Alligator mississippiensis: one gene and its partners. The main gene of each other region encodes a partner of the protein of the gene in region 3 in a complex. Links are inferred from orthologs where the notes say so. Each region holds a gene or a part of one and is shown on either strand. Other genes may lie near its edges. The genes, in order: INTS9, INTS12, INTS6 and INTS4.

Region 1 (8,463 bases), about 410 Mb from region 3:
AGATCACACTGACAAATGCACCCTCACTGAGGCACTAGGCAGTCAGCAACAGGTCTTATCTGTTGCTGTCTGGCAGAAACTACCGCCCTTGAGGCACTGAACATCTGAACTCGGTCTGGCCTTTGGATTCTGTCTCAACGGTCTAAAGTGGGGATGGCAGGCTTTGGGCAGCCCCCATACTCTCACTTAGGAATATGCATTGAAGGCCTTGGTGTGATGATCATAGACCTCTTACATGAATACAACATGATCCAGAGGATGGACAGTTGCCTATTATTATATTTCTCTGAAATTAAACTGGTAACTCTACTCCAGGCTCTGCCGTCAAAGGAGTGCGTGCACTGGATAAGCTCCTTAGGTTATGCAGGTATTTTTAAGAAGTACAGTAAAGGCCTCATTATCTGGCATGAGCAGAGAACAGGGGGTGCCAGAAATCTAAAAATACCGGTTACCTGAAGTACGGAGGTTGCTGGCCAGACGCAGAGCCGGGGCAGGTGGGGGTGGCGGCAGCCAGATGTGGAGTGGGGAGGTGGCAGCAGTTACATGTGGAGCAGCAACAGCAGCAGGGTTCAGCGCGGAGCAAAGCTCGGCACAGCAGAGCAATGGCAGTGCAGGGCAGCCCACGCGGAGCGGCCGTGGCAGCTGCCGTGTGCGAGCTTTCCCCTGCGTCCGGCCGGCCAGAAATTCCAGTTAACAGAGTATTCTGGCTAGTTAAATGTCAGATAGCAGAGATTTTACTGTACTGAGTGCCAACCTATGCCATCTACACCTTCCTCAGACAAAGGTACTCAACACCTGTGGAAGTCAGCCCAACCTTTCTTTGCCTGAGGAAAAGAAAAGCTACAGATTGTCCCTGTACGCTGGGACATGACAGTCCGAGCCGGAGGGAGGAAAACTTGGTAAAGTGGCTACAAAGAATGATAACTAAAATAATTGAAATGGAAGGCACCTTAAGAGGTCTTCTAAATGAATCCTCTGCTCAAAGCAGGATCCTCTAAACCAGTGACCCAAGGGGTGATTTCAAGGGGTGCCTTGAAATCCTATCGGGGGGGCACACAACACTAGCACTGTTAGGTGTACAAACATGATTCACATGATGAACCAGGGTGGACAAAAATCAATGATTTTTTTTAATTAAAAGTTGAATTTTTTTATTTAAATCAGATTTTTCTGATTGAATCATATCGATTTTTTTCTTACGATTTTTAAAAAATAAACCTACATAAAAATAGTTTAAACTTAAGATATGTTAGAGCTCAAAGATATCATCATGGAATAGGGATTATAACTTCTAATTATATACTATTTGAAACAATATATTCATGTAACCTTTTTAGAGAAGCTTTATAAATAGGTCAAAACAGGCCATAGACTATATTAGGGTCCAATCTTATGGGGTTCCCAAAGGATTCTCCAATGATTAGTAAGGATTAAAGAAAACTATTCTACCCAGTGGAACTCAGTGCTCAGTCTAGAAAATCCCATTAAGCATCTCTGTGATGTTTAGTTTCAGTTCTCAGACTGTGGATTTGTCTCTCCAGAGGTAACACCCCTGTTAACAGCAGTACACAGAGATGAGAGAGAACCGACCCAATTACCTACGGATCAGCCCTCTTGTCTCGGCAAGTTTGTGTATGCAGAGTCAAGCTTTTGCCCCACTCTAAAAGTGCAAAGTTTCAAAAAGTTAAATGAATAAAGGATTGTTGGGGGTGGAGTAGATCTGGGCAAGGAGGAAGAGTCTAGACATAATGCAAGGACGGGATGGCAATAGAAACAAAAGAAACATTTTTAGCAGAATATTCCAAAAGTCTTGAGGAATAAGTTTCTGAGTATAGCTTCTTCACTAATTTGAGATCTAGCGAGGGAATGATATGGTAGAAGGGAAAACCTATCATGGCAGCAGGCTGGCCAAGCCATAAAAGAGACCCAGGTTGGGAATATTTTAATGAAGGTTATATCAAACATCAAGAATGCACTTTTTGTAGAAAATAATGATTAAAATTGAGGGTTCTTGATTTAAAACAACTGTATTTAAATCAAAACCACCCTCTGATGAACCTAGAAATTTCAAATAGGAATCCTTGGGTTAAACACATTTAGATCTGTTATGATCTTTCTGAGTTCTTTGCATCAAAAAACCCGCTCTATGATTTTTCCATAGTTAAAAATGTGTGAACAACAAAACTGCCATTTACAGAATGACATCATAGGTCCAATTGCCCAGGCTCTTGTGTCATGGGGCAGCAGAGAGCAGATGCTGAAAGGGAGAGTGAACAAGGCATGATAAGGGATTTTTCCCACTCTTCCTCTCACTTGCAGCCTCCAGGCATTTTCTGAGGGGTGCCCCATGTCTAACAAGGTTGAGAATCAACCTCTAAAATTGTCTAACATGCATTTAAAAAAAAAACCAAAAAAACCCCACTTTCCAGCACCAGAGGTTTTGCAGCCTTTTCAGGTCACCTCTTCCAGTGCTCAACCAGCCTCGCAGTTAGAAAGTTCTTCCTAACATCTAACCTATATCTCCTGTGTTGCACGTCAGAGGCCATTACTTCTTGTCCTGTAAACAAAGACAACAGTTGATGGCCGTCTGCTTTACGACAGCCCTGGGCATATCTGAACAGAGTTATCTACTGCAAAAGAAGAGCGGTTACAAAGAGGAGGGCGATCAGGACTGGGTTATCTGACTAGACAGTGTTATATCAGAGCTTTCCTCCCCATAAGTTTCTCTAGTGCCCTGTAAACTCAGGTGGAAATCGATGCTCAGCTGCTCCCAGCACTGAGCAGAGACGCTCACCAACCTGCCGTGCCCTCCGCAGCCCCAGCTCCCTGCCCAAGATGCACCTCCAACACTTCCCTCCTAAACTGCCCCCCCAGACCCAAGATGCCCCTACATCATCCCCCCAAACTGCCCCCAGCGCCACCCCAGATGAAATGCCCCTCCACTGCCACCCAAGAACTTCACCCAGTGTCAAACCGGTCCCAAGATACCCCTCCACCACCCCCAAAAACTGCCCCCAGTGCCACCCCAGCCCCAAGATGCCCCTCTACTATCCCCCAAAATTGCCCCCAGGGCCACCCCAACAAACTACTTCAGTGCCACCCCAGCCTCAAGATACCCTTCCACCATCCCCCAAAACCACCCCAGCCTCCAAACACCCCTTTCCCTCAAAAAACCACCCGAGCCCCAAAATACCCCTCCACCATCCCCCCAAACCACCCCAGTGCCACCCCAGCCCCCATATACCCCTCCCCCAAAACGGCCACGCTCCTCCCCCGCCCCCCCGGTGCACACAAGCCTGTTTGGGGCCTTAATACAGGCATGAACCCCCAGCCTAGGCCCCTCCTGTGCCTCAGTTTCCCCATGTGCAGGACGGGGCCCTCCAGCAAGGTGGGGAGGGGGAGCAGGGGCCAAGGCTGAGGCTCCCCAGGACACAGGAGGGGGAAGGACAAGAGAGCCCCCCCCCGGCCTGCACCGCCCCACTCACCAGCTTCATGCTGCCGGCCTCTTCCCCCCTGCCCCTTCCTGCCCTGCCTCTTCCCCCTCCCAGCGCGCGGGGCACGCTGGGACCTGTAGTCCCTCCCCGCCTCCTCAGCCGGCGGATGAGGTCATGCCCGGGAGGCATGCCGGGAGCTGTAGTCGGCCGGCCGCGCTCCCTGATTGGCGGGCCGCGGGGCACGCCGGGAGTTGCAGTCCGCGGGCCGCCCGCCGTCCGCCGCCCTGGGGAGCGGCGAACTACAAGTCCCAGGGCCGCGGCGCGGCGGCAGGTGGGCGCTCGGATGTTGATATCAACATGGCGCTCGTCAGGCAGACAAAGACGGTCCGTCTGGGGTGAGCCCTGAAAGGGGGTGTGAGGGGGAGGGAGGGGTTGCCTGTGTATCCTCCTCACTTCGTATTTCGGGGGGGCTGAGGGGGTGGCACCCCTTCACTGTATGTGGTGGGGATCCCCTCGTGTGTCTGGGGTTGGGGGTCGCAACCCTTCACTCTGCGTGCGTGTGTGTGTATGTGTGTGTGTGTGTGTGTGTGTGCGTGCGTGTGTGCGGGGGGGGGTCTGTGTGTGTCTCCTTGTTACTTTGTAAATTTTTTTTTGGGGGGGGGGGCTGGGGGGTGAAGCCCCTACGTGGTTGTGTCTGGGGCTTGGGGTGTGAGGAAAGGTTGGGGGGGCAAATCCCTTCATGGGTCTGGGATTGGGGGGGTGGGGGTTAAATCCCTTCTTGGGTTTGGGACTTGGGAGGGGGGGGTTAAATCCCTTTGTGGGTCTGGGATGGGGGGGGTTAAATGCCTTCGTGGGTCTGGGAATTGGGGGGGCAGGGGTTAAATCCCTTCGTGGGTCTGGGCCTGGGGGGGGGGGGCGTTAAATCCCTTCATGGGTTTGGGACTTGTGCGGGGCGTTTAAATGCCATCATGGGTTTGGGACTGGGGGGGGGGGGTTAAATCCCTTCATGGGTTTGGGACTTGTGGGGGGCGTTTAAATGCCATCATGGGTTTGGGACTGGGGGGGGGGGTTTAAATCCCTTCATGGGTTTGGGACTTGTGGGGGGGGGGTTAAGTCCCTTTGTGGGTCTGGGACATGGGGTGTGAGGAGAGGCTGGGGCGGGTGGTGAAATCCCTTCCTGGCGCGTGTCCGGGATGCTGGGTGTGAGGAGAGGCTGGAGGGGTGAAATCCCTTCCTGTGTCCGGGACTTCGGGTGTGAGGAGAGGTGGCGGGGGGTGAAATCACTTCACGTGCCCGGGACGTGGGGTGTAGGGCAAGGCTGGTGCGCGTCCGGGATGCTGGGTGTGAGGAGAAACGGGGGGGCAGCGTCCCCTCGTATTTCAGGGGGAGGTTGGGGCTGGGAAGAGGGTGAAACTCCCTCCTTCTCTATGTCCAGGTTGGAGAGGGGTGAGGGGGGCAGCGTCTGCCTTCGTACGCTCATGACTTTGTTTTTCAGGGGGAGACTGGGGCTGGGAGAAGGAGAAATCCCTTCCCCACATGTGGAGCATGAGGAGACATTGGGCGGAGGGTGGGGGGATGTTTGCCTTCATATCCTCATGACTTGGTATTTTAGGGAGAGGCTGGGGCTTGGGAAATCTCTTCTCCCTGCACATCTGGGATGTGTGGGGCCCTGAAACTGCCCTAGGGAAGAGTGGCTGCTGCTGCTGGGGGCGGTGGGAGGGAGGAAAATGCCGCATGGCTGCTCTTTTTTTTTTTTTTTTTTTCTTTTTTTATCCTGGCCCTATGCTTTTTTGGCTTTGCCGCGGAGTTAGAATAATACCGGCTGGGAGTCGCGTCTTCCTTCAGGAACTGCGAAACGCAGGAGCCCGGCAGAGCTTTTTGCCCCCTCTGTGTTGGCCGGTGGGTTTATTGGTGGGAAGTGGCAGTTAGAAGTGTCGCTGAATCCATCTGCAGGGCATTTCTTTGGAAACAGTTTCTGCAGCAGCTCCGTTTCTCTCTGGCTTCTGGCCCTTTGGCGGTGGGTGATGCTTTCCCCAACCCCCTTCACATGGGGGAGGGGGAGGATGCCTTTTTTTGGCGGGGGGAAGCTTGCTTGTGCGGGGGTGATATTTCCAAGTCGCTGAAGTCGGGTATATTTTGGTTGCTTCTGGAGTTTTTTGTGGCATCGAGGGAAGTGCAAAATCTATACCAACTGAAAGCTGTGGGTTTTAACCTGGGGAAGGAAGTGTTAAACTGATGGGCAGAGTCGTGATGTGAGAACAGCGAGTCTGATGGGCACTGGCCGAGTGCCCCAGAGGCCAGAGGGGATAGTGGAGAAGGACCCAGTGAAAGGGATGACATTTGCATGGTTTGACACCCCAGAAAATAAAATTGTCATATAAACGGTTTGTGCTAAGCAGACAACTTTTGGGCTTGCAAAATCCTGGAGTGGCTGTCTGGGTCCTGTGATATAGCTAACTCATTTCTGCAGGGCTCATCAGGTGCAAGAGCCTCTCTCTGCTTCCTTCCTCGGATGGTGCAGCTGGCATCTGATTTCCTCCATAGATGGGAGAGGAGGAGCCCAGTGCAGTTTTTTTTTTTTTTGTTTTTTTTTTCCCCCCTGAGATGATTGCATTTTCTTTGGCCTTGCCGTACCCTGCCTCATTAGTAGGAACTGCCTTTCTCTTTATTTATCTAACATTAGGCCAGGCTCACAGGGATGCTGGTGAGAGGGGAGTGGGTGTATGTGGATATATAACTCTGAAGACTTTTCTTTAGTCGCTGTAAGATCATGCTGGGGTATGGTCCTGCAACAGCAGACCGTAAACTTTGTTTATTTGTGTGCGTCTTGACTCTCCTTCTGCTCTTTCAGCTCCAAATCCTTAAGGAGAAGGTAGGGAGGCAGAAGGTGTGTGGGGTGGGGAGAGGGCAGAAGGTGTGTGGGGTGGGGAGCAGTACATTACATGTACTGATATTTTGAACTTTTTTAGCTTCAGGCAGATTTATATTTCTGGTTGTGAAAATTATCTGCTGTCTCTGTGTCCTCAGAGCTCTGGGTTCTCTGAGGTGGGACAATTCTGCTCAAACTAAAGTGAAATGCTTGCATCTGGGGATGCCGTGTCCCCTTCTGACACACAAGTTCTTCGTCTTTAACCCTGAGTCAGGCACAGCTTTCTGTACAGACAGAATTGTCTAGCGGGCTGAGCATGGGATCAGGAACAAGGACGTGGTGTTTAACTCTGCTGTGCCTGTTCTCTTAATCTTCCTCCCATTCTGTTAGCACTGTTGCTAGCAGTCAGCCATCAGCATTTTTAATCCTGTGTCATCTACCTCCGTTCAGAGCAGGTCTAGACGACATTGTAGCATGTGGGCTGCCAGGCATTCTTCCTGGGCATGAAACTGCAATGTTGCCAGAGAATTGGTGGGAAATTCTCAGAAAATCCTAGGTAGCTGAGACATTCCTCTTTCTCCCACTAATTTTGGCAAGTTGCTTCAGTCTTGAAAGCATATTCCGTTGTACAAGCACAACTATAATAGTTTGTGCCTACATGGCCACCTGGTAACGAGCTCCCGTTGTGCTAGATGCTCTGCAGAGTGGACATGGACCCTTCCTGCTCAGAGAAGTTTACCCTATGCCTGTTTCCATGTCTGTCATGCAAGGATTTCTTCTGCTCTCCTTCAGAGAGGTGGGGCCAGCAAATGTCTGAGCAGTGCTTGGAAAATGAAATCCCAAGTGTTCCCTGATGCACTCATTTTGTCATGATAATGAAGTGGCATATGCGTAAGTTCAGGGAGGAGTTTGAATTGTTCTCTGCCTTTGTTTCGGGAGCTAAGGAAACCCTGGGACTAAAGAAATTCAAGTTTCTGTAGTGAAATGCACTTGTTCTGCTAACACTTTAGCCAGTGTGTGCCTTATGCAGTCTGGACCTTCAGTGTGCAGTTCTGGGGAGTGGGGAAGACTCTAGATAAGTGTGTGTGGTGGGAGCTGGGGGAATGAATATTATTCTGATGCAAGAAACAGTTTAACTTAAAGCATGCTGATGCCTCCCTTCCATAAACAGGGATTTTTGAAGATTGCCTTTTATGCTAACAGCTACTGGTTGCATGAGAGATTCCTGAGTGTAGTCCTTTCTGTGCAGCGCTCATAGGGTTTTGAATGCAGGATCAGAGCAGTTTATGGGCATGTTCTTCACCTTCAGGGAACTTCAGGATTTGGAGTCAATCAGGTTAAAAAATGCTGTCAGCGTAAAAATCTTATTGCAGCAGAACAGATAACTTTACCTGTCTTACAGATAACTTAATGCAGTTTGTTTGTTGTCTGGGCTGCTCCCAGCTGGGATGCTTTTATAGTCAGTGCAGTCAATGTCACTTTACATTGATTTTAATGCAGCTTCACGCTGGCTCTGGTAACCACCTACAACTCCTTGTGGGATTGGGCCTTTAGTTTATACATGTCCTGATGGTATTACCTTGTGTGTTCACATAAGTGTCATATTACTGACAAGGTTTTTGGTTGATTTTTGTGGGGGGGGGGGGGAGAGGGTCTTTTAAACTATATGCCTCTTAAGTTGATTTGGTAATGGAGTATTCAGTCAAGAGCTGGAAACTGTAATTCATTGCCCCTGTATAAACGAGTGCAGTAACCCAGGAGATATCAAGACTAGGCACTGTGTTATGCACCTAGTTAGAGACCTGAAAAATGATAGTAAAAGGCCTTGATTCTGCAAAGAAAGTTTATTTTCTACCAATGGGGACTTTTTACCACCTTTAATTTTCCCTGAGCCTGAGGAAGGGTGTGTGTGCCCAAAAGCTTGCAGAAAAAAGATATTTTTTTTGCAATTTTTTAGTTGGTTTAATATGTGGTATCATCTCTGAATCAAGAGGTCTAGAGTTTTTGCATTTCTTTTTGATTCTGCAAATGCTGATATACACGTTTAACTTTGAGAAATGCAAGTGGTCTTATTGAAATCAATGGGATTCCTCACGTGCTTGAAGTTACTGCAGGTAAAGTGTTAACAGTTTGGAGGTTTGAGTAAACATGAAAGAACCT
Region 2 (7,640 bases), on a different chromosome or scaffold from region 3:
TAGTCCAAAACTGCAACCACAAATGGAAGGGAAGGGAAGAGAGATGATCTCCTTCCTGCACTGCCCTGCTAATGTGACACCATGATCCAATGCAGAAGCCATGGGGCTCTGCCCTGTACCAGGAGTTCATCTTTTTTATCAGTAGGTAGTAGTGCTCTTCTCCTAAACTGCCCCATATCTTCTAGCCTTAGCCACTGCCTCCACACACAAAGGATGCTACATATGAACTGTCTAGAGATGCATTGATGCATTGGTCCATATTGTATCGGCACTGATAAAAGGAAAATTGACATTATTGGCAATTGGCTTTTTTTGGCTAATGTGCCTGATAATGTCGCTGATAAGTGTCACATGCATGTGAGCAGCTGTAGAATGCATATGGCCAGGAGTGCAGCCCAGAAGCTTGGAAAGCAGCATCTGGTCAATAAATCTGTGGGGAGGAAGGGGCATGGTGGTGAGGGGCAGACTGAGGCCCCCGCGGTGACGGAGGGAGTGGGGCTGGGGCAGTTGCTGCCCAGCCAGGATGGGGTGGAGTGTGGGACAGAGCTGTGGCTCATCCAAGGGGTATGGGGGGGGGGGCGCTCCTGCTGGGGCGGGTGGCAGTGGTGCCGGGGGGGGGGGGATTATGGGGGGACTATAGCTACCCCAAAATTTGCCATAGCCACCCCTCCCAGTGCCGTCGTCTGCCCTGTCCCAGCCCCTGCCAGGAAGAGGTTGGCACAGCCCTGGCCCTAAGTGCGCAGCCCACCCTTACCCCACACACAGATCCAGGGGGGGCATGTGCCCCCCACGCTTGCCCCAGGGGTGCGTGCAGAGGCAGGAGCTGCTTCCCCCTCCCCTGGACCAGCTGCAACTCCGTCCCGGCTGTGCAGCGCCTACCCCAGCCCCTGCCTCACTGCAGGGGCCTCAATCTGCCTCCCCTACGCTCCTTCCCCACAACAGACTTACTGGCTGGATGCTGCTCTCCAAACTGCCAGGCTGCATATTGGCAATCAGATCGGTATCAACCGATATAACTGGTTAATAATTGGCCATCTGTAAAGGCCCCCAAATTTTTTATCGATGCACTCCTAGAATGGTCCCATAGTCCCAACATCCATTGTTCCTCCATGTCTAACATCTGTTCACTAGCCTGAACACTCCATGATTCTCCACAGACCTCTAATATGCAATCCCACAGACCACTTATGCTCCAGCACCACATGCAGTCCAATAGCCTGCTTTTCTCAGAGTATCTTGCAGAGATACACAGCCCACCAATTATTCCCACCCCAGGCCTGGCACTACAGCCCCAGAGTCCACTTCCTCCAACCCCTTGTATAACTCCACAGCCTCCCTCCCCTGTACTTCCAAGGCATGTTGCAGAGTTACAGAGACTGAGGGCAGTCACGTTTGCCTGGCAATGCACTGGGCTAATTAGCAAAAGAGTTAGTAGACAGAGAGCCACCTCAGATCTTTTATTTGGGAAGGCCCTGCCTGGACTGGGTGCTAGATCCAGCCAGCATTTGGAGAATTCTGGTTTAACTGGTTACAGTCTTTCTTTACTCTCCCCACCCTTTCCTCACTTAATAGATAAGCTGTTGCTTGAAATAAAGTAAAAAGGTTAAAAGTGATGAAAGTCTTCCAGCACATTAACTTTAATTTAAAGACTGTCTTGTAACTTGGGAACAACTGACCTGCCCTATATACACACACGTGCAGATATACATACAAGTGCACATACACATATATATGCACGCAGACAGGTACAGGTACATGTGTGTGCACTGTGCACATGTATTGTGAATCTGTTGGTTCATTTCCTCCTACCTGCTGTTTGTCTGTCTCTGGGCTACTTATTGCTTGGTTTGTGTCCTCTCTTCATAGATTTCATAGACATTAGGGGCTGGAAGGGATTTCATGAAATCATTGAGTCCAGCCCCCCTGCCAGAGGCAGGAAGTCTGCAGGGATCAAATGATTCCAGCAAGATAAGCATCCAGGCGCCTTTTGAATGAGTCCACAGTAGGTGCTTGCACCAACCAGCTCTGGGGGGAGTCTGTTCCAGACCCTGGGCACACGGACTGTAAAGTTTTTTTTTTTTTTATGTCCAGTCTAAATCGGCCTTCCAGGAGTTTGTGGCCATTATACCTAGTTATCCCTTGGGGGGCCCTGGTGAACAACAGTTCTCCCGGATCCTAATGTGCCCCCCCCTTATAGACTTATACTTCTCTTCTTAGACTAAACTTACATATACCCAGCCATAGGCGACATAGCCACAGGTAGAGGGTGCACAGAGGAGCACGAGCCCCCCCTGACAGCAGACACTGATGCTGTTGGTAAGGTTGGTGCCCCCCGACAGGGCTGCCACCGTGGTGGCTTATGCAGGCACCCCCCCAAATTCAGGAGGTGCCAGTCACTCACGTACCCAGCACTACCGCAAATAAAGAGCAGCTCTTCACAGAGCCATATCTTTCAGCTTGACCCTAACATACTGTTAACCCAGTAACATGCTTGCATTTAGCTCAGGTTTGACTGCCCAAAATGCATCTTCAAAGGAAAAACGAACAGGTGAAAAGGGGTCTGGTAATTCAGGTGAGGCTCAAGAACCTGAACCATTAGAGATGGAAAAGCCCTATCTGGTTCACTGCCCAGAAAAGCAAACAGAAATGAATCCCTGGCTAATGCTTACTGTAAGGCAGGGGTGACAAAGTGAGCTGGCCCCGTGCACCAGATGAGTGACACGGGACTGGTCCACAGGCTGGATCGGGTCCAGGGACTGCCCCTCCCCCCCAGCCAGGCGTGTCAGATCCAGCCCCCGCGTGCAGCACAGGTCCTGGATCTGGCAGGTGGCGGGACCCACAGGCCCCTGCCCCGCAGCCGGTGCCGGTGCCACTGTGGCTGGTGCGGGACTGCACTGCACTGCTCCGCTCTAGGACCCGTGCTGCATGCGACACCTGCCTCGGGCCGGCTACAGCAGGTGCTGCAAGCACTGCATCGGCTTGCTAGGAGGAGGGGGGTGGGGAGGGATCCCAAATCGGCCCTGCACACGTGCTATTTGCAGCCCAGATCGCTTACCCCTGGCCGCGCCGGCCGGCCAGTCCGTCCAGCTCGCGGTCCCCCCGGCGCCGCGCGCTGCGCCCGCGGGTTCCGCCCGGCAGCGCGCGCCGCAGGAAGGGGCGGGGCCGCTGTGACGTCAGCGCCGCGCGGGGGCCGGAGCTGCGCCACGGGTGAGCGGCTGCGGGGAGCGGGGCCGGCGGTCACGTGGTTCCGAGGTGGGGGAGTCACATGCTTCCGGGGGGGTGCTGACCTAGGTTGGAGCCCCCAGCTCTTGACTGGGCTGGGAAGGGGCACCAGCTCCCCCCTGGGGAAAGGGGCTGCATCACAATGGGGGGCCTGTGACGCGTGTGCGTTGCGGGGCCAATCCGGGCGCGCCGGGCGGGGGGTGGGCAGTGCTGGTTTGGGCCCCGGGCGGGGCTGGCGGTGGGGTCTCCGCGGCCCCGGGTGCACCCCTCGGGCTCCTGGCGCCTCGGGCTGCGCCGCGCCTGCCCACCGTCATTTTGCCGCCTTCCCTTGTCCCCCCGGCCTGTTTCTCTCTGCCAGGGTGGCCGGGTGTACGAGAGCCATCCGAATTGTACCATAACGTCAACCCTCGTAGGATAATAATAGGAGAAGTGCTCAAAGCATAGCGCAATTTTTGAGGCAGGTCTTTGGCGCAGCGGATGCAAAACCCAGGTCACTTTCAGGGAGCCTTAACTGACTTTATTTTGTTTTGCTTTTTTTAATTCAATATATTTCATGTTCTAGGTCAAAGCACCCAAATCAGTTCCGAATCATATTGGTTGAGCAGAGCTCAATCGGTCCAAAAGCCTTATCGATGGACCAGGCAGGACTCAATCATTCTGAATGCTGTGTATGGTGCTACAACTGGTGAACATCCTCCTTCCCAGACCAATTACTCTGGGACTTAAGATGCTCCCAAACCCATTGGCAGGTATCCTACGTGTAGGTCCAAGCAAGCTCAGAGGTCTTGGGGTTTGGATGCCCCCATCATACTTGATTTGATTCAAAAGGCTGAGAAATGATTTTTGGTCAACCCATTCTTATGACTGCTTGCTTCAAAACAAGGAGATGTTTCAACTTTGACTCTGTTCTCACTCACTCCCTGGCAAGTTACAGGAAGCAGTATAAAGTAAATAAACATTTGCATACTTATTTGCATATTTTTTCAGTGTACAATAGTTTTTCAGCAAATGCAATAATTTTGAGCTTCCGACAGGATAATTTCATGTTTAAGACCTGGCAACGCTGCTCTCTGCAGAATAAGCAATGTCTCAAGCCTGGTAGCCCTTTCCGCTAGACCCTCACCCCGTTCTTCTGCTGCCCTTTGCGAACTGTCAGGGTTGGTTGAAAGGGGTCCATTCAAATAGTTTGGGCACCAAAGCCTGGTTTTTAATTCAGTTTCTGGCATTCTTCATCTGAATCTCTCAAAAGAACTTCATATGAAGTTATATAGAACCTTCTGACTAATTTTTCTCTGTTAATGGGGAAGCTGAGGCACAGAAGTTAAGCATTTAGTTTGTTGTCGCACAGTAAATTGGTGGAAATATAGCTTAGGTCACTTGAGCTGCATGTCCTAAACGCACGGGTACTGTTTTGTACTGCTCTGCCTATTTGTTGGAGCAGACGTTCCATTTTTTAAAAACCTAATTGTCCTGGCACATGTTAAATTGAAAGAAATATTGTTATCAAAGATGCCCAAGACTCTGCCCAACACAAAGTCCATCTATGATCAAAGCCTTATTCAGAAATTAGGACCAAAATGTTTCCATCTTTTAAAAAAAAATTAACTTTCTTGGGAAACATCTGTTCTTTGAACAAAGATGCATAGGTCTGTCCCACAACCCAAACACTGCTGTGCAGTGAAGGTGATTTAATTGGCATTTACTCCATGTCCTGGGAAATACTGAAAAGCAAACAAACACGATAACTGTGAAGTTATTTTTGTTTTTTGAGTTTTAGTTAACAAAAGTGGCATTCATACCATGGGTAAATTTGTTTCTGAGATCTGGTCTTTAACCTATTCAGTATAGCAGATGATGTTGCTCATTATTGTATTACAGAAGCAGCTTGAGGCTCCAGCTGAAATAAGTAAATGTCTGTCCTGCCCCAAGGAGTCTGCAGTTTGAATGGACAAGAGAAGTAATTTGATAGGGAAGTGGGAAAATATAAGCTACAAAATATAAGCTACAAGCAGAGTGGAAAGCACGATGGTTTGTATAATGGGACAGCAGGAGTGTAGCAGGGCAACTCCATGCCCAGGGCACCATTGGCTGTTGTGGTGATGATCATGGCAGCTCTTGCTGCGGTTGTGGCTATTTTATGCCCCACTCTACAAAGGCAGCATCTAGAACTGTTGCCACTGGTCTCTTCCGCTTCAGTCCCCATTATAGGGAAGAAGGGAAAGGGCCCTCTAAAGAGGAACCAGGGTGGAGGCCACATCTTTAAGAGCAGTATAAAGGAAGGGCTTAGCAGCAGGGGAAGCAGAAGGCTCTGGCTGGACCAGGAAGAATGGAAACCCAGGAAAACTGACTAGGATAAGCGTTAGGAAAACAGGAGGAGGCCTCACAGGCCCAAAATAGAGGCTAGAGGTTCCATTAGGGCTCTAGAGGCTAGGCTAGATGCATCAAAGGGCAGGGACTAGTCTGGGGAAGAAGAACCCAGAGGCCTTACCTGGGAGATGTCATAGCTGAGAATGTGACATACCAGGGGAGCCAGTAAAGCCGTAAACCCTGTCAGCTGGACTCTCATTTCCTTCTACCTGCACGCTCTGTAAAGTCAAGATGTGGTTTGGTGAGATTAGTAAGGACACGATGTCATAGTTTCATAGTTGGTAGGGTCGGAAGGGACCTAAGCAGATTATCAAGTCTGACCCCCTGCCATGGGCATGAAAGAATGCTGGGGTCAGACAACCCCGGCAAGGTGTCTATCCAGCCTCCTTTTGAAGACCCCCAGGATAGAAGTGAGCACCACTTCCCTTGGAAGTTGGTTCCAGATCCTAGCCGCCCTGACTGTGAAGTAGTGCCTCCTGATATCTAGCCTGAATCTACTCTCTGTCAACTTATGGCCATTATTCCTTGTTACTCTCAGTAGTGCTCGGGGGAACAGGGACTCTCCCATTGCCTGCCGGTCTCCCTTGGCCAGTTCATAGACAGCCACCAGATGCCCTCTCAGCCTTCTCTTGTGGAGGCTGAACAGGTTCAGGTCTCGTAGCCTCTCCTTGTAGGGCCTGCCTTGCTGCCCCCTGATCATGCAAGTGGCCCTCCTCTGGACCCTCTTGATGTTGTCCACATCCCTCCTGAAGTGCGGTGCCCAGAACTAGGCGCAGTACTACAACTACAGCCTGACCAATGTCATATAGAGGGGGAGGATCACCTCCTTGGACCTGCTCATGATGCATCTGTGGATGCAAGGTGTGATTAGCCTTCCTGACTGCGTCCCCACATTGGCGGCCCATGTTCATCTTGGAGTCTATAATGACTCCAAGATCCTTTTCTGCCTCTGTGGTGACGAGAAGGGAGTTCTCCAGCCTCTAGGTATGCTGCTGGTTCTTTCTCTCTAGGCGCAGCACCCTGCACTTGTCAGTATTGAATCCCATCTTATTCTCATCCACCCACTCCTGTAACCTGTCCAGATCCAATTGCAGCCTATTCTTCCCTTCTAGCGTTCCCACTTCTCCCCACATCTTAGTGTCATCTGTGAATTTGAACAAGGTGCTTTTCACCCCCTCGTCCAAGTCTCTGATGAAGATGTTGAACAGTACAGACCCGAGGACCGAGCCCTGGGGGACCCCACTGCCGACATCCCTCCAGGTCAAAAATGACCCATCCACCACCACTCTCTGGGTGCAGCCCTCCAGCAAATTGGCGACCCATCTGACTGTGTAGGCATTGACACCACAATCTCCTAATTTTTTAACAAGAATGGGGTGAGAGACAGTGTGGAATGCCTTCCTAAAGTCCAGAAAGACTATGTCCACCGTGACACCTGCATCCAAGGATTTTGTGACCTGGTCATGGAAGGCCACCAGGTCGGTCTGACAGGACCTGCCTCTAATGAACCCATGCTGGTTGCCCCTAAACATACACTCCCCTGCTTGTCCCTTGCAGATGTGCACCTGGATAATTTTCTCAAAGAGCTTCCCCAGGACCAAGGTAAGACTAACAGGCCTATAATTTCCTGGGTCTTCCTTCCTCCCTTTTTTGAAAATGGGGACCACATTGTCCCTTTTCCAGTCCTCTGGCACCTGGCCAGAGCACCACGAGTGCTCGTAAAGCTGTGCCAAGGGTCCCACAATGACCTCTGCTAATTCCCTCAGCACTCTGGGGTGGAGGTCATCAGTACCTGCTGATTTGAACGTGTCCAGTCCCACCAGAAGTTCCCTGACTAGTTCCTCTCTGACCGTGGGCCTGGCTGTGACTCCCCTGGGACCATCAGGGATCCTGGTGAGGGGGATGACCTGGTCCCTGCTCAGAAAAATGGAGGCAAAGAAATTGTTAAAGAGGTTAGCTTTGTTGTCTGGTGAGACCACCAGATTCCCTAGCATGTCCTGCAGAGGCCCCACGTTACCCGGAACCTTCTTTTTACCCCCTATGTATTTAAA
Region 3 (7,867 bases):
CCTAAAGTCTGGAACAGACTTCCTCCCAGAAGTGGAGCGAGCACCTGCTCTGGATACCTTTAAGGCACATTTGGATGCTTATCTTGCATTTGACCCCAGCAGACTTCCTGCCCTTTGGGCAGGTGGGGCTGGACCCAATGACCTTGCAAGGTTTCCTTCTAGCCCTAATGTCTATGAAATCTATGAAATGGAAGCCCTTGGCAGTCCAGGATGTAGCATTTGCCAAACATATATATATTAGTGATTAAACAAACCTTTCCTAAGTTTAAGCATCCTTTGCCATCTATGTATATAGGCGTATATGTGCACACACGTGTGCACACGCGCAAAGGATGCTTAAATTTAGGAAACATTTGTTTAATCACATACACAAACATGTATATCCCAGAAACCTTTCCCCAACTGCAACAAATGGAAGAGGTTGCAGCAGTTGATGAAGTTTGTAAAATAAGCAAGCTTGGAAAGACTTGCAATCAAGGAACTACAGACAGGTCTGATCCACCTCAGATGAAAACAACTTCATATTATCAAGCACTGCTTCATAACAACAACCAGCCAATGGGAACATCAATTCACCCGCCCATCTGAATGAAAAAAAGAAACCCTAAACTGGCTGGCTCACTCAGGATAAGTAACTTAATGTGAGCATCATCAGTTTTCATCAACATCCATAGTACAAAGTCGGCTTCTAGTGTTTTATGCCTGGGATAGCAATTTTTTTGTGACAACATCATGAGACTAAGCCAGAGGTATCAAACTCATTGAGCCCCATGGGCCAGATGAACTGGAACAGGGCCAGTTCACAGGCCAGATAACTGGTATGGTGTCATCCTACAGGCCAGACAGGGCCCACAGATCAGTTCCACAATGGTGCAGGCACTGTATGCAGCACACCCTGGACCAACCCCACATGCTACATGCAGTGCGGGCCAGCCCCACATGCAGTGCATGGATCCAATTCAGCACACGCTGTATGAAACATGTGGGGCCACTCTCCATGGGCAACACCACAGGCCATATCTACCTTGAGGGCAATATCTTTGACACCCCTGACCTAATTCAACTGACACAAGAATTCAGGGAAGAAGAAAAAAAGGTGAACATGCACATACGTTAATAGATTTAAAAAAGTAGCTCTGTATGGGAAAGTAGTGCATTTCAAAGTTTCACTAATCTATCTACATTCAAAAAAATATTGAGGGTGACTTTCATCTAGTAGTAATGCAACATGAGAAGTCTAAATGCCCCTCCTAGGCAAGAGGAACATGACACTGAAGAGGAGACTGTATATTCAGATTTAGAATTCCTCTGTAAAGCACCTGATGTCACTTGAGTAACTCCAGTTGACCAACAAGAAGCAGCAACCATTTCTTTGCCATTAGAGGGAGGGTTACATCACAAGAGGAAACCAGGAGAGGAAATGTGAGATAACATGTCTCAAGTACAAAATATACAATTAATATGCCTTCTCAAATGATCAGGTTTGCTACTCACTACTATACTAAACAAACCTATGGTTTGCTTCATGTTCCTAATTCCTTATGTTCTAGGCTAAACAGGAATTGAACACTTCCCACAGCACGTGCTCAACTTGTGAGAGAAGGAACATTGTATTGTGCTCCAATACATCATAATAGTGCACGTAGAGCTTCTTGTGGTTCTTATATAGGGGTCAGAAACTGAATGATCTGGTGGTGTACAACAGAAGTGAAGGAATATGCTAAGAAAGACGACAAAATCTGACACGCAAGATTAAGTCTCTGCTCCAATTAGCCTAATATTTGTGACTGCTGCAGCAATAACACTTCAGAAAAAAGCTAAACTCCCAAAGCGCAACCCTACTGATGGCACAGCACTGTACATGAAGACGCTTCCTCCTTTCATGAGCCTGGTGGCAAATCAGCTGCTGACCTGAAACAAAGGTTTTAATTACCTGGCTCCTGATAAATGTAAAAGAAAACTGACAGTCATGGTAACTGGAAAAAAAAAAAAATGACAACTTCAAAAGGTATGTTAGTGTTCAAAAGGTGAAGAAATATTTACAACTATTAAGGAAAAACCAAACTGAAGTTGGGTAAAAACTACGTCCTGCTTGGGGCTGCTCTGATGGCTGAATGGTTCTTTCAAAGTAGCCCCAAACACTTTCAACTGCAGTGTCATGAAGGAAGATCATTTTTGTCAATGAATCCTGTATGGTTTTGTGAAAGCTCCAGGGTTGGTTTTTTGAGGGTTTTTCCTTTAGGTGTTCCCCCTATTAACCGTCAACCTACCTGCCCATAGTTGTCTATGCCAGTTACTAATCTATTTAAGTTTAATAAATCAAAAGCGGTCCTGAGGGACTGGCCAAGAGTTGTCAGTCCTTCAGCCTGCAGGTTTTTCAGCTCGCTCATAAACGTTGCGTGGTTTTCTTTCCATCCGGCCTGAAAAGAGAAAGGCAAGAGAGGGGCTTATCCCAGGATAGTGGGGGGCTGGGATTGCCCTTCCCCACACAGGCTCCCACAGGAGGGGGTCCCTCTGGGGACAAGGCGAGTGCTTCCCAGGGCACCCTGCGAGGTGCCAAGAGGGCACTGCCCCCACCCTACCCCGGGGGTGGCAGCAGGGTGAAAGAGATGGGAGGGGGCGCAGGGAGGGGAGGAGAGGTGAGGAGAGCCCCCCCCCAGCCAGGCCCGGAGCGAGCGAGTCGCTGTCACTTCTCGCAACTCGCGCCGGATCACCCACAGTGCCTTGCGGCTCGCGTCCCGCGCCGCCAACATGGCGGCCATGTTGATGTCAGCGCCGCCGCGGCCGGACACCAGCGCGGCCGCCCCGGCCCCGGCGCCGGGCGGGGGGCGGGGCGGGCGAGGGGGTGGGGTGGGGGAGGGGAAGGGGGCGGAGCGCCGCACGCTCGATGGGGCTTTACCTTGATGGCGTAGGGAGGCTCCTCGAAAGTGACCAGCATGTACCTGTCCCCGCGGCTTGCGGGGTCCCGGGCGCGGAGCTGCGGGGGGGGGACAAAGCGCACGGTTACCCCGAGCCGGCCCCGCGCCGCCCCGCCCGCGCCCCTTCGCTCCCCGCCCGGTACCTTCATGAAAGTCTCTACCGCGCCTTTGGCTACGTCCAGATAGGTGGTGCCCAGATGGGTGCGCTGGTTCATGGAGGCGGACGTGTCTATCAGGAAGAGTAAGATGGGCATAGTGCGGAGCGGCGGCGGCGCCCGCGGCGGGCGCTACATGGACAGGGCGGGGGCCGGGGGCGGCGCGGGGCGGATGCGGGGCAGTGAGTGCTGTGCACGGGGCGCTCCCGCCGCGGGGTAGCCCGGCCCGGGCCGCCTTTGTGTGCGGGCCCGCTCGGCCCGGCCCGGCCCGGCCGCGCGGGGGGTGAGGCGCAGCGGGCGGGGGCTGCCCGGCTGCTGCTGCGGCCGCCGCTCCCTCCCCCCCGTGGATGTAACTCAAAGTTTTGGGTGGAGCTGCCGCGCGCACCCCCCACCCCAGCACTTTCTGTCTCTGACTGAGGCGCTTCCTCGCTCGACTCCCCCTTTTAAGGCAGCCTGGGCAGGTCGGGCACCGCCCCCGCAGGACACGTCCCTGCGACACGTGATGACCTGCCCGCCGCGCCATAGGGCTCCCGCCGAGCTCTCATTAGCATATTCAAATCGCCGGGGGGGGCGGGGGAACGGCGGTTGGCGGCGAGCACGCGCCAAGGCCTGACGGGGGCGCATGTGCACTGTGGCCGCTCGCTCCTGCGCTGGGGGGAGGGGCGCGAGAAAAGGGGCCGGGGGAGGACGGGGCGGGGACCCCGCTCCTTCACCCGCGCGGGTGAGTCACGGGCTATGGGCAGGTCCTGCCGGAGGGTCTTGGGGCGGGCCCGGCCGACTTGGGAGCTGCGTTCTGTAGAGCCTCGCGGCCGTGGCCTCCCCACAACTCAGCCCCTACGACTGGGCAGGGCGGGGCGGGACCTTCCTCCCGGGCGGTTGCTTCGCCCGCGGCGGCGGCGGCGGCGGCAGCCCTGAGGCGGAGGTGGCGGCGGTAGCCCCGAGGCGGCGGGGCGGGATGTGTGCGGGCGGAGGCGGCCTGGCCGCCCTTCCCTCAGCGCGGTTGCGGGTTGCGGAGCCGCGGCGCTAGCCTGGGGGAGGCGCGGGCCCGCCCCACGTGCAGCGCCCGGACACGTGGCATCTCCTCCCCCCCCCTCCCGGGGCCGTGTCACGGCGCCGCCCCAGCCCGGCCGGTGCTGCGTGGGGGTGGGGGCCACGGGACCCACGTGCGCTGCTGCCCGTGGGGGCGGCCCGGGGCGACCTTCGGGCTCCGCCGAGCCGCTCGCCTGGATGAGTTTGAGGCCCCTGCGCCGGGGCTGCGCCTCGGCATTGGGCGGCTCCGTGCGATCTGCTCTCGGGGCACAGGCATTGTCTCCCCGCTCGGGGTGTGCGCAGGGACTGCTGTTTCCTACCCGAGCTGACTTCCCCTCTTGTGCCAAAAATGGTGCTGGTTCTGATCTCCCCCATCATCCCCACTGAGCCACTTGGCTGCCTCAGACAAGGAATCAGCAGTGCCCTGGCCTTGTTCTGTGTCCCCACCCCTGCACACCAAGGCCTACCTTTGGTCCAACGTGCTTTATTTGGGGCCAGATAAATGCGAGGCTGGGGTTTAGGGCTAATTTCAGGGGAGCAGAGGCAGAACTTCTTGCACCCGTTGTTGCTGTACTGGTAGGTATAAGCAGATCCCTCTTGCCAGCGCTGTGTTAGGTGCTGCATTTGTGATCCGCCCAGCAAGATGACTCCAAAGGCCTTTAAAAGGTGAAAACAAGCCCCCGGTTGCTTCCTGTACCCCTGGCTGACACTGGACCTTGCCTAGAAAGGGTCCATGTTTAGCAGTGAAGGAGGTGGTTTCTAGGGTTCCATGTGACTTAACTGTCTTCTTGATGGGCCATTGCCCTACTATAAGTAACTGTTTCCTCTGAGAGAGGACTGCGTGAATCTTGCTGGAGGTGAGTGGCTGGCAGTTATCTCCCTGTGGTGGGAGGGAAGGGGGTGACAGGGATCAACCTTGAATTAAGGCTATAGGAATGCTGTACAAATCAGGGCTCATAGCAGCAACTAGGGAGTGACATGAAATAAAACTGCATACTCTGCTATAACTGGCTATCTTGTAAAATTGTGATAGGGACATTCCTCAGACATGCCAAGGAGGTTGATTTGGGCCTAGATGGCTGCTATAACTGAAGAACTATTTTACTTTGTTCATAGGGAATCCTAGTTCAATCCGATGCCCTTTTCAAGTAGCTTGTTCCCTAGACCCATCTTTAAAGGCTACAGATAGTCAAAGTGACCTTCATAAAACAAGTCAACGGTCTTGTTTTATGTAAGTAGTCCATAGCAGTGTAATAGAAGTGACTTCACTCGGGTATCTCAAGCTTTCTGCGTGAGCTGTGAGAAAAATCTACAGATAGCATATAGAAATATGGTATTCTCCGGGGCAAAAGACGGGAGAGGGCAGTTTAAATGCCTATCGTTCCAGTGTATTACATGAAGAACAGTCCTTATCAATGAGCTAGGAAGCCAGAAGATCAAATAATTGCCTAACTCTAACACTAATCTGAAATCTAAAGGTAAGAGCTGTTCTGTTTCACTGCTGTGGGTGGCAAGATGGAGCTTAGACAGTAGGAGTCATTTTGCCTTCCAGGGTTTAGGCCCAGTGGACGTTGCTGGCTGAAAGAATCTGGTATTGCATGCACGGAACCTGGGCATCTACAGCAATATCCAGAGACATGCTTAAGAAACATACATACCCACTGTGACTTTGAAGCTGGCTGCTGGAATCACTGCAGGCAGCTGGCACAGTCCCGTCTTCATGTAATACTAGTATTTTTTGCCTTCCCATATTAGGTCACTTGTAGATACAGAATCAAGGATGCCTTTGTACTGCCTATGCTAGGCATTTGTGCTTTTATATTGCAAGCTGGCTATTTTGATTATTGTTTAAGAAAAACTGAGCAAGTGAAAAGTAATTTGTTTAAAGCATTTCGCAAGAAGGTGTGACAGCAGCCAGCTTGTGATGCAAGAATCCTAGTGTCTAGCAGCAGCATCCAAGTGATATTTATAAATATCTCCCTGTGCAAAAGGATATACAGAGGAGCAGAGCAGAAAATAGCGACCTTAGTGGTCATGTTCATTAGTGCTATAGTAGCCATATCTGAGCATAGAAGTTTCCTTGAGTTTTAACGACTGAAAATGGATGCCACTTTTTTGGGCTTCTCAGCTTTGTTACATTATAGGTATATTTATACTCAGAATGACAGTTCCCCGTAATCAGTTGTTTTATTTAAAATTTAAAGGAACAGTCTATCTGAAATATGCTCTCTCACAATTGTGACAAGCAATGCCTAAGAGTATTGTCACTGAAGGATAAGAAAGGGTTTTGGTTGTTTTTTTTTAATGTATTCATTTTATACATAAGCTTTTCATGAGTTCTTCGTAGTAAGTTTTCCTGGTTGCTGTATGAAAAGCCACATAAATACCAAGGAATCTTTTTAGTTCACAAAATGCAGCATGGGAACTCAGCAGCAGGGGTAGCACCTGAAACTATTTTGCTCACTCTGTGCTTCAAAATGAGTGGTGTCCCTTTAAAAACTAGTGTGGAACTCATTCAAAATTGCAAATCTGGCTTTAACATTAAACACTACATGTACAGAGACACCGTTTTGAAATAAGTAGATTTAAAACTGAAAATATAAACAAGATGTAATACTTTTGTAACACTTGCTATTATTGAATAAATTTTACTTCAGTTTTCTGTTCCTCCTGTTTGATAGTTGGATGTGATGATAATCTTATATAACATAATATGCTGTCAGATCTTTTGTCATAAACTTCAGGCTTGACTAGAGGACGCTGTGTGGAAGACATTTATATAGATCATGGAACTAGAACTTTTATTCTCCCCTCAGTCCAATATTGTTCCATGAAAATCTTTCAGTATTTTGTTCAGCTCAGTTTTAAATGATACAAGTGATGGGATTCGCAGATTCCCTTAGAAGACTAAATCAGCAGTGAAGTAGATCTTGCGAATACTCTGCTTAAGTTTGCCTTTGTTCATCCTATTGCTCCTAGTTATGATGCATCCATTTAGAACACATTTAGAATCCATTTACCCCTCAGGGCAGGGGGTTGGACTCCATGATCTAATAGGTCCTTTCTGACCCTAAAAAAAATAAAATCTATAAACACCCTAAGCCAGGAGTGGGCAAAATACAGCCTACAGGCTAGATTTAGTCTACAGCGCCCCTAAAAAAAAACATAGAAAATGTATTAACTGTGTGGCTGCCTGTTGAAGATAAGGCAGCAGGGCCCAGGGGCAACTGGTGGCGGAACCCAGCAGCTGAGCAGTAAGGCTGGCCCAGCTCCACCCTGCCCCCAGACTCCACCCCAGCCCCCAACCGGAAGTCTTTGTGGCTTCTGGCCTGGTGACCCTTTAGATGTTCCCTGCCCTCCCTCCATCCAATCTTATCTAACTTTCCACTTGGATGGGGGGGAGTGGGGGGTAACGACCGCTGCAATCAGCCAACGCAGTCTGGAAACCATGTGGTGCTGACCAGGGCAGGCTGGAGCAAGAGCAGCCAGCAGGCAGGAAATGGCAGAGGATGGAAAGCTGTGGCAGCAGGCAGGGAGTCAAGATGGGCGGGAGAAGTAGCAGGAGCAGCAACAGCTGGGAAGTGGTTGGAACAGTGGCAGGCAGGCAAGTGGGAGGGAAAGCAGGGGAGTGGCGGGCAGTGGCACGGAGCCTGTGCCAGTGCCTTGGGGCTGGCATGGACCCAGGGTGGGGTGGCAGGAGCACAGAGCCTGGGCACAGGGTCTGCCTGGCTGTATTGCATGAGGCTCAAGTGCTGTCCATGAGAG
Region 4 (8,136 bases), about 49 Mb from region 3:
TGCCTGCCCAGGGCAGGTGCAGCAGGCACCCATCCAGCCACATGGACAGGGGTGAGGGGCAGCTTGACTCCACAGGGAAAAAAGGGGGCATGGCTGTGCAAAAATGGGGGCAGGGCTATAAAAAACCCAGCCTGCATGGGTGGGGCCAGACCACGATTGGGCCACAACCTGACCCTGCGGGTGGGCAGGAAGAAGGGGGCATGGCCTGGTTCCAACCTGCTGCACAGAGCTTGGGACTTTGGCAGCAGGGGTGGGTAGCTGTATTAATAGCCACTGCTCCCCCACCACCAAATTTACCAACATGTTAGGAGCCCTGCAGGCCAGATGCAATGGCTCCATGGGCCACATCTGATCCATCAGCTGGAGACTGAGCACCCACAATTTAGATAATGGTGAACATGAACCATTTCCAATGTTTTTGACAATGTTTCATAAATGAGAATTGTGATTTTATTTTATTTTTTTTAATTTAAAAGACTTTTGAATTGATTTTCCTTTACTCCCAGAAAAGCCAGGGAAACCTACCCTACCCTCTAGGCCCAGCGATCACCTCATGGACCAGTACAGAAGTGACTTGTAGCCCCTCTTCCTGGTGAAGTGAAAGAGCTGGGAAAAGGTTGTCTAGACTGTTCTAGTTAAAACGGAGAGTCCTCAAAGGTTATATTTTCAAAACAGCACAGCTCTCACCCCATTTAGGCACCAAGTGAGTGGCCATGTTTTCAGAGGAGTTCAGCAGGCTGGATGCCAGGCTCTTTAAAAAGTCTGACCAGGAGCACCATAACCAGAGTTAGTGCATGTCGAAAACTGGCCCCTATTGCAGAGGCTCAGTACTGGAAATACTGGCCTCATGTGCGGATTTAAAACTGTTCCTTCCAACACTGGCTCACTTGTCCTTATCTACGCAGAATTTCATCTACCTTCTGATTGTACAACGGCTCCCAACAAGATGATATGCATCTGAACCCTAGATAAGTCCCCTGAAATACAAACAGTGCTCAATCTCTAGCCTGCGGGCCAAATCTGGCCTGAGCAGCCATATCATCCAGTCTGTAGGACTCTTCATGGTGGGAGGGGAACTGGGCAACCTTAATTGCTGCTCCCCTGCTGCCAAGTTTCCAGACCCATGGGGAGCCCAGCAGACTGGATAGCATGGTTCTGCAATGGCCACACAGGGCACAATCTAGACACTGACTCTGCACAGATCTGGCCCGCGGACTGGCTTCATGCTACTCACCCAGCCCACAGGGCCAAAAGGTTGACCATATTCTAACGAATAATAAGCATGCTACCTAGACAGTTTCATTCAACTGTTCCTACTCAAGATCACAAAAAAGAGAGAAAATCATGTTACAGGCAAAATGTTCCAACACCTTCTTAGGGTCAGGGCCTTGATATATTAGGTTCCCTACATTGTGGGGTTTTCTTTTTTCTAAGAACATTGTAAATTCATATTTGGAAAAGAACTAGTACAGGTTTCCCTTGCTTTATGCAGGTTCTGTATGTGTGAAATCGCTCTTATGCAATGACTCTTTTTATACCAAACCTTTATTATATGCAAGATAAATTCACTTGTATGCAATCAGTGTAGTGGAGGCCTGCAGTCAGTTGCTTTGTGCGGAGCATTGTGGGAGTGATGCCATAGACAGAGGAAGAAAAAATTGGGGGGGACTGAGCCGGGTGGTGGTGCCTGGGTCAGGCTACAGCACCAGCCCCTACAGCCTGACCTAGTCCAGTCCCATCAGCGCAGAGCCCTGGCAGCTGGTGCCCGTGCTTCTGGAGCCACAGCTGTGCTTGTGTGTACTGTCTGCTGTTGGTGAATACCAAAGTTATCTTGTAAGAGTGGCAGAAGTGGGTCTGGGGGGCAGTACAGTTGAGCTCTTGGAAGTATCCCTATTTGTTACATTGTAAAGTAGGTCGGTCCCCTTTATGCAAATTCAAGTTATGTGCTGTTTTCCAAGAACTCATGTACACCATAAGCGAGGGAAACATGTGTAGCTGATCCAACATCTTGTAAAGCGAGTAAGAACGGCTATAAGGAGCCTCCACATCATTTGTTTAAACAGAACAGGATTCACGGGGTTAAAAAACAGAGTTCGCTCTAAACCTCTCACCTACAAAATATTTTCTTTCCAGCCAGACAGCAGATTCCTGGGCTGAAACTGAAACTTCCCTCATGACTTCTTCAACAGGGCAAGTGAATGACTGATTTAAAACGAAACTGTTATAAGGATCTGCAGAAACAAAGCTTCAGCTTGCAATAAAGACCCATTATTTACAATAAGGCTATGATTCGCAAGACAAAGCTGAAGGACGACCAAGGAGAAGACCACCATCTTGACAGCAAAATGTGTTATTTCTCTTGTTTTTTAATAAAACTTAACTTGAAGGGTGATGATGACAGAGACTAGATCGGCAGCCTAGAGTAAGAATCTGCCTGTTCACAAACCAGATACAGCAATCACTTTCTAGCTTCTCTCACACCAAGCTACCCCAATAACTAAAGCCTGACCCTGAAGGAGATAGCGCATATGCAGAATATGTGCTAACTCCTTCGCCTGTCTGCTGAAACAGACAACAAAAACACCAAGGTTGTAAAAGCTGCAGTACAATTCATACAGGGGATGGGCAGTGAATAAGGAAGGCTGGCACCTTGGAGGCTAACTGGTTCAGAGAGACAATCTTTTGCAGGTGACAAGCTATTTCATCAAACATAAGGAATGGACGCTCCTCACATCTGATGAAGCTGCTGCCTGTGAAAGCTGGTGCTTCTCCAAACCAGTGAGCCTCCATGTTTGAAGCCTGCCTTACCTAAAGCCTGATTCAGACTAACACAGCCAAGCACCTCTATACAAGCTCATCAGACTCTTGCGTAGTTATATGCTAACCTGTGGCAGGCGTCATGCTAGTGGCACGGGCAGCCTGCATGTGGCACGTGGCAGATCAGGAAGGGACACGCAGCATGGTGGGGAGGGACAGACAGAGAGAGAGGGCAGGGAGCGGATGGCGGAGCCGCAGCCCGGCCCACCTTGTAGTAGTGCTCTAGCAGGATGCGGACGACGCCCTCGACGCTCTCGGCCTCCACAGGCTGGCGGGCGAAGTGCAGCAGGTGCTGCAGCGCGTCGGCGGCCGAGGCGGCCTTGCACAGGTCCACGTGCAGCGCCGCCGACTTGCTGGGCTTGGCCAGGCGCAGCTTCTTGGCCGCCGGCTCCTCGTGCTGCTGCGGGCGGAGGGCTGTTAGTGCGGGCGGGCGGACCCCCCCCCTTCCCTTCCCTTCCCGTCCCTTCCCCGGCCGTTACCTGCACCACTTTGGTGAACTCCTCGTACACCCGCTTCTTCAGGTGCGCCGCCATCTTGGGCGCCACCTTTCACCTGCGCGGCTTGAGCCGCCGCCGCCACCGTAGCCGGCTTGTCTCTCTCAGCGTCCCGCAGCACACAGAGGAAACGAGACGGGCCTCTCTAGGACCGCGGAGGTCTTCCTCTCAATGGTCCACGAAGGGGGCGGGGCTTGCTGTGGGAGCCAGGCTGTCCCCTTTGAGAAATGCAGATCCCTGAGTCAGGAGCTGCCTTTGCAGCCTGGTGCAGGGGCAGGGGGTCATGCTAATGCTGCCACTGGCCTGGCTGCTGCACGCGTGGGGTGCACCACTGAGGCACCCTGTGCGTGGCACTAGGGTGCAAATGAAGGGGGAGCTTGGGGGTGGGGGGGCTCCCCATAAGAGATATAAGATTTGGAAATTATAACCTAGGGAGGGGGGGGTCTCCGAGCAGATTGCTCCTTCGCTGAGCTGGATTTGTTCATCAATGAACTGGTTTAATTTTGTTTGCAGGCTCCCCCGCAAGGGTCCAAGTGTCATTCGAGCCCTGCCTGGCACGCTCTGCGCTCACAGCCGTGGCTGTCCACAAGGATGGAGCGCGTGGTCCTTGGCAGGCACGAATTCACCAGACACTGGAGAGAGACCCACACCTCCCTTTAGCTGCAGTTGGCCGAGCTTTAACAAGCAGCATCCAGGCGTGGCAGGAGATATGCCTCTTTCTTAGTAAATCAGTATAATTTGGGGGCTGGCTCCTCACTTTTCACTTCCCCAGTGTGAGGAGGGGGGTGTATCGAGCACCACAAACACATCCCTGTTTCTGCATCTCCTCACGTACACTGAATTTACAGCTCAGTGCATCCTAATCAAGACGCTGCTCTGTGGGTCCTAGAGCCCCCACTTCATTTCTTGCAAGGCCTGACTTACTTGTGTATGCTTTTGCCTGCGTGGGGTTGCCAGGGGAGGGCTGTTGCTGCTCAATTCAGGGAGGCGGGAGGATCAGTTCCTGTTGCCATTGTTCTTGTTGGCTGGTTCAGCACTGTGCCCTGATCAATACCTGCACGTGTGCTCAGAACGTGGTCTAAAGGCACAGGTAAAATATATAGAAGAAGGTCTCGCTTCGTGCCAATTATTTACAGTTTCCCCTAAGGCTTGGACAACCCGATGTCACTGGCAGTGTGCCTTTGATTGCAGGCAGGGGGCATCAGGTCCTGATCCTGATGTCTCTTTAAATAGGGAAAAATCCCAACCTCTTTTCAAATGGGAGGATTTGGTCTGCAAGCTCGATGAGTGTGCTGCAGCAGGGGTTGGGCTGGAGGCTGGGTACATAAGGGTGAAGCTGTTTTGCCGAAGGTTTCCCGGCCTGATTCATGCGTGATGGTTCAAGCAGCACTCAGATGTACATGAAGAAATACTTCATTGCCTGTTGTTTATTGGTTGTGGTTGGTTGTTTGGCTTGTGTTCTCTATTTTCAGGAAAGGTTTGAAGCTGTGCAGAAGCAACCCAAACTCTCCAAAAAAATGTCTGTTCTAAGATGCGTTGGGAAATTCCAGGACAGTTTATTTGGTTTTTGGTGAAATTAAGAAGACCCTTCCCTGGGAAACTATCTTCAGTTTCACAGGGAGGCTGGGCAGTCCCTCCATAAGACAGGATTTTATAAATACCAAAATTATAAAGGGAACCCAGGTTTTAAACTTTCTGTTTTCCAAAGAGAGAGGCCAAATACCAGTTTTGACTCTGGAGCTGTGTGTAGATTTGAAACCCATTTCCCTCACACTTGGGTGTTTGGATTTGAAAGGATAGTTTCTCAAAATACCAGTCAGTCACATAGACTCATAGAGAAGATATTGGGACAAATGCATTACTGCTGCAAGACCCAATCATGTCTGTAAGGGATACGGGACTTCGATCTATAATGTCTAACAATAATATCACCACCAGCACCACTTAAATTCCATGCTTGAGACGTGTCTTTCTAAACTTGAGGCATCTTTCGTGTTAGTAACAAGACCAAGAACTCAGCTTTTGGGTTTGCATCTGACCATTTTGCACAGCCCTGAGCTTGACATACATCCTCCTGATAGTCCCCTCTGTGACATCCTATGAAATGCTGAGCTCCCTCACCTGTGGTTGACTGCCTTGAAAGCAGAATGAGCTCAGTGAACCACAGGACCAGGTTCTTTTCCCTTGAAGTCAAGGGAGACTTTTATTTCAATGTACCTAGGATCTGAGCTTAGAGCTCTGGACCTTAGAGCAACGGACCTTAGCACTAATTGGGAATGTTGCATGCTCAGGACATTGAGGGTCAGGGCCAGGATTTTCAGAAGTCACCAGGGATAGTGAGTGCTGATGAACACAGAGCTGTTTCCCCCTCCCTCCTCCCCAGTTCCAGCACTCGGCATCCTTCCCCCCACACTCAGCTGAAACAGGAACTCAGAAACAACTGAGAGGGGAGGAGGTGGGAAGCAGTGTCCCATTTCGAGACAAGAAAGATATAGTCACTCTGCTTAAAGGTGTCTCAAGTTGGACACCAAAATTCATACATTAAAAGAAATCATAGAAATACAGGGCAGAAAGGGTCTTCAGGATGTCATATGCTCCATCATCCTGCTGTGAAGTAGGAACCTCCCCAAGATGTACCTAGGCTCTCCCTGACAGCTGTCTGGCTAACCTGTTCCTAAAAACTAGACACAGCCCCCTAGGTAACTTGTTCCAGTGCTTAACTATTCTTATAGTTAGCAAGTCTTTTCTTAAGAGCTAATCTGGATGGCCACTGCTGCAAATCAAGTAGATGACAACTTCTATGCTTAAAAGACACAGAGAGTAATTCACCACCATCCCCTTTAGAATAAACTTCAGTCTGCTCTTTTTAGACTAAGCTAACCAGATCCTTTTAACATTTCCTCTTTCTAAACCTTTTTAGACACCTCCTAAAAAGTTAACTTCTTGCTTAAGCTTCTAAATATTATGGCACTAACCTTCCTCACACTTATTCCTGTTGTCCACAGTATAACTGCATTGGCTCAAGTGGAGTTATTCCTTATTCACACTCCTGGAATACCTGCACCAGCAGTCAGTCCTTCTATACTGTATTTTACTTTTTTAAACCTGTAGTGTACAAGGAGAACAGATGAATAAAGAAGGCCCATCTAATTTGTACAAAGAGGCTTTTAAACATATATTTATTTAGCAACCTGTAATACACGTTGCCCTTGGGGCAACCCATATTCTCAGAGTTAGAGTAAACATACCCACAAACTCGAATGGCCAGTCTAATTTTCCAGGCCCCCCTGCAGCTTTCCATTTCCTTAAAATCACCAACTGTGGCCTCAAGTAGAAAAATAAATACAAAATAAACTTCTGAATCTTAAGAATTTTTCAAAACAGTGTATGAGATCTAATCCTGCGCCCCTGCTCAGGCAAAAATTCTCCACTGAGTTTTGTTTTAGGAGCACTCCTTTCCAAAATCATTGTGGATTTTTCTTACAGCTCGAAAGCCCGCATTCATTTGCAACGTGACGACATTAACAGATGTCGCAAGAAAAGCAGCTAAACACAGCTGCACTCAAGAGGAGTGCATGTTCCTCTTAAATGACAAACAGTTTTTGTTCTGTGTTTGTACAGTACATAGCACACTGAGGTCCTTGTCCAGAACTGGGGCTCTATGGCCCTACTGCAAGACAATACATGAAAATAAACATAATTATATTTGCTTAGGAATAGCTTGTCAGCCTGGACAGCATAACATCTTTCTTTATGGTGAGAGAGGGCCCTGATGATTCTCTTTTTTAATGTGGGATCCTGGTATGGAAAAGGATGACAAACACTATGCAAAGGCATGGGTGCTCAACCTCCAGCCTACAAGACACATGCAGCTTGCAGAGCCATGGCACAGGAATTTGGCAGTGGTGGGGAGCAGTGATGATTAATACCACCACCCTCCCCTGATGTTAGATTCCCAAGTCCCGTGCAGTGGGTTGGAGCTGGGCCATACACCCTTCTTGTGGGGCTGAGCCATGCCCTCTGCCAGACCAAACCCCCTTCCCCTGCATACCCGAATCATGGCTGAAAGGGGGCCAGGCCATACCCTCTTCCCCTCATGGGGCTATGCTATGCTTCTTCCCCACCCTGGGGGGCCTCGCTGGGACCTGGCTAACCCCCTTATGTCACATGGCTGGATCAAGGTCGGGCTGCCCCATCCCGCTCCCCACACCTGGATGGGGCCACATCTGACTTGTGCGTCAGACTGGCATCCAGCCCGTGGACAGACCAGGCACTGCCCATCCAGCCTGCTGGGCAAACTGTACTACAGCAGTGGTTTTCAACCTTTTTTCATTTGCAGACCCCTAAAAAAAAATTGAATGGAGGTGCAGATCCCTTTGAATTATAACTGTGGCTATTCACCTGCTTTTGATTGATCATAGTCATCTTTCATGGACCCCTTAGACATAGTCTGTGGACCCCCAGGTGGCCACAGAGCACAGGCTAAAAGCCACTGTGCTACAGCATTTAACTTCTCAGTGGAGGACCAAATATAACCATGGCAAGAATGAGCACAGCTCCCAGGAGGTTCAATGGGAGTTGCATGTGCTCATATGACTTTCATCTGAATATGTATAACTAATCTAAAGGACCTTCAGAGTGAAGTTATAATCAAACTAAGGACTTGGTGTCCTGCATTTATTCCGTCCCACTGACACTGCCAGATCTGATGGGCTGCTCTACAAAGATGATCCCCATGCCCCTGCCACCCTGGAAATGCAACCTCGTGTCTGGAGGTGGAGCTGCCTATTATCCTCCCTGTTCCTCAAAAATAAACATTATGGAT

The links.
Region 1: INTS6 (region 3) and INTS9 share a complex: the UniProt entries of both Homo sapiens proteins name them as parts of the integrator complex. The link is inferred for Alligator mississippiensis from reciprocal best matches to the Homo sapiens genes INTS6 and INTS9.
Region 2: INTS6 (region 3) and INTS12 share a complex: the UniProt entries of both Homo sapiens proteins name them as parts of the integrator complex. The link is inferred for Alligator mississippiensis from reciprocal best matches to the Homo sapiens genes INTS6 and INTS12.
Region 4: INTS6 (region 3) and INTS4 share a complex: the UniProt entries of both Homo sapiens proteins name them as parts of the integrator complex. The link is inferred for Alligator mississippiensis from reciprocal best matches to the Homo sapiens genes INTS6 and INTS4.

Annotation. Positions count from the first base shown.
Region 1 is NC_081824.1:6,034,334-6,042,796, forward strand, and holds the start of INTS9 (integrator complex subunit 9), read right to left. Parts: upstream 3,550-8,463; 5' UTR 3,495-3,549; coding exon 3,486-3,494; intron 1-3,485. Other genes in the region: HMBOX1 (homeobox-containing protein 1), read left to right, coding at 3,778-3,818. UniProt on the Homo sapiens protein: Component of the integrator complex, a multiprotein complex that terminates RNA polymerase II (Pol II) transcription in the promoter-proximal region of genes.
Region 2 is NC_081825.1:131,326,153-131,333,792, reverse strand, and holds the start of INTS12 (integrator complex subunit 12), read right to left. Parts: upstream 3,140-7,640; 5' UTR 3,056-3,139; intron 1-3,055. UniProt on the Homo sapiens protein: Component of the integrator complex, a multiprotein complex that terminates RNA polymerase II (Pol II) transcription in the promoter-proximal region of genes.
Region 3 is NC_081824.1:416,203,091-416,210,957, forward strand, and holds the start of INTS6 (integrator complex subunit 6), read right to left. Parts: upstream 3,322-7,867; 5' UTR 3,173-3,321; coding exon 3,062-3,172; intron 2,978-3,061; coding exon 2,900-2,977; intron 2,799-2,899; exon of another isoform or gene 2,719-2,798; intron 2,421-2,718; coding exon 2,271-2,420; intron 1-2,270. UniProt on the Homo sapiens protein: Component of the integrator complex, a multiprotein complex that terminates RNA polymerase II (Pol II) transcription in the promoter-proximal region of genes.
Region 4 is NC_081824.1:465,164,480-465,172,615, reverse strand, and holds the start of INTS4 (integrator complex subunit 4), read right to left. Parts: upstream 3,441-8,136; 5' UTR 3,351-3,440; coding exon 3,297-3,350; intron 3,218-3,296; coding exon 3,026-3,217; intron 1-3,025. UniProt on the Homo sapiens protein: Component of the integrator complex, a multiprotein complex that terminates RNA polymerase II (Pol II) transcription in the promoter-proximal region of genes.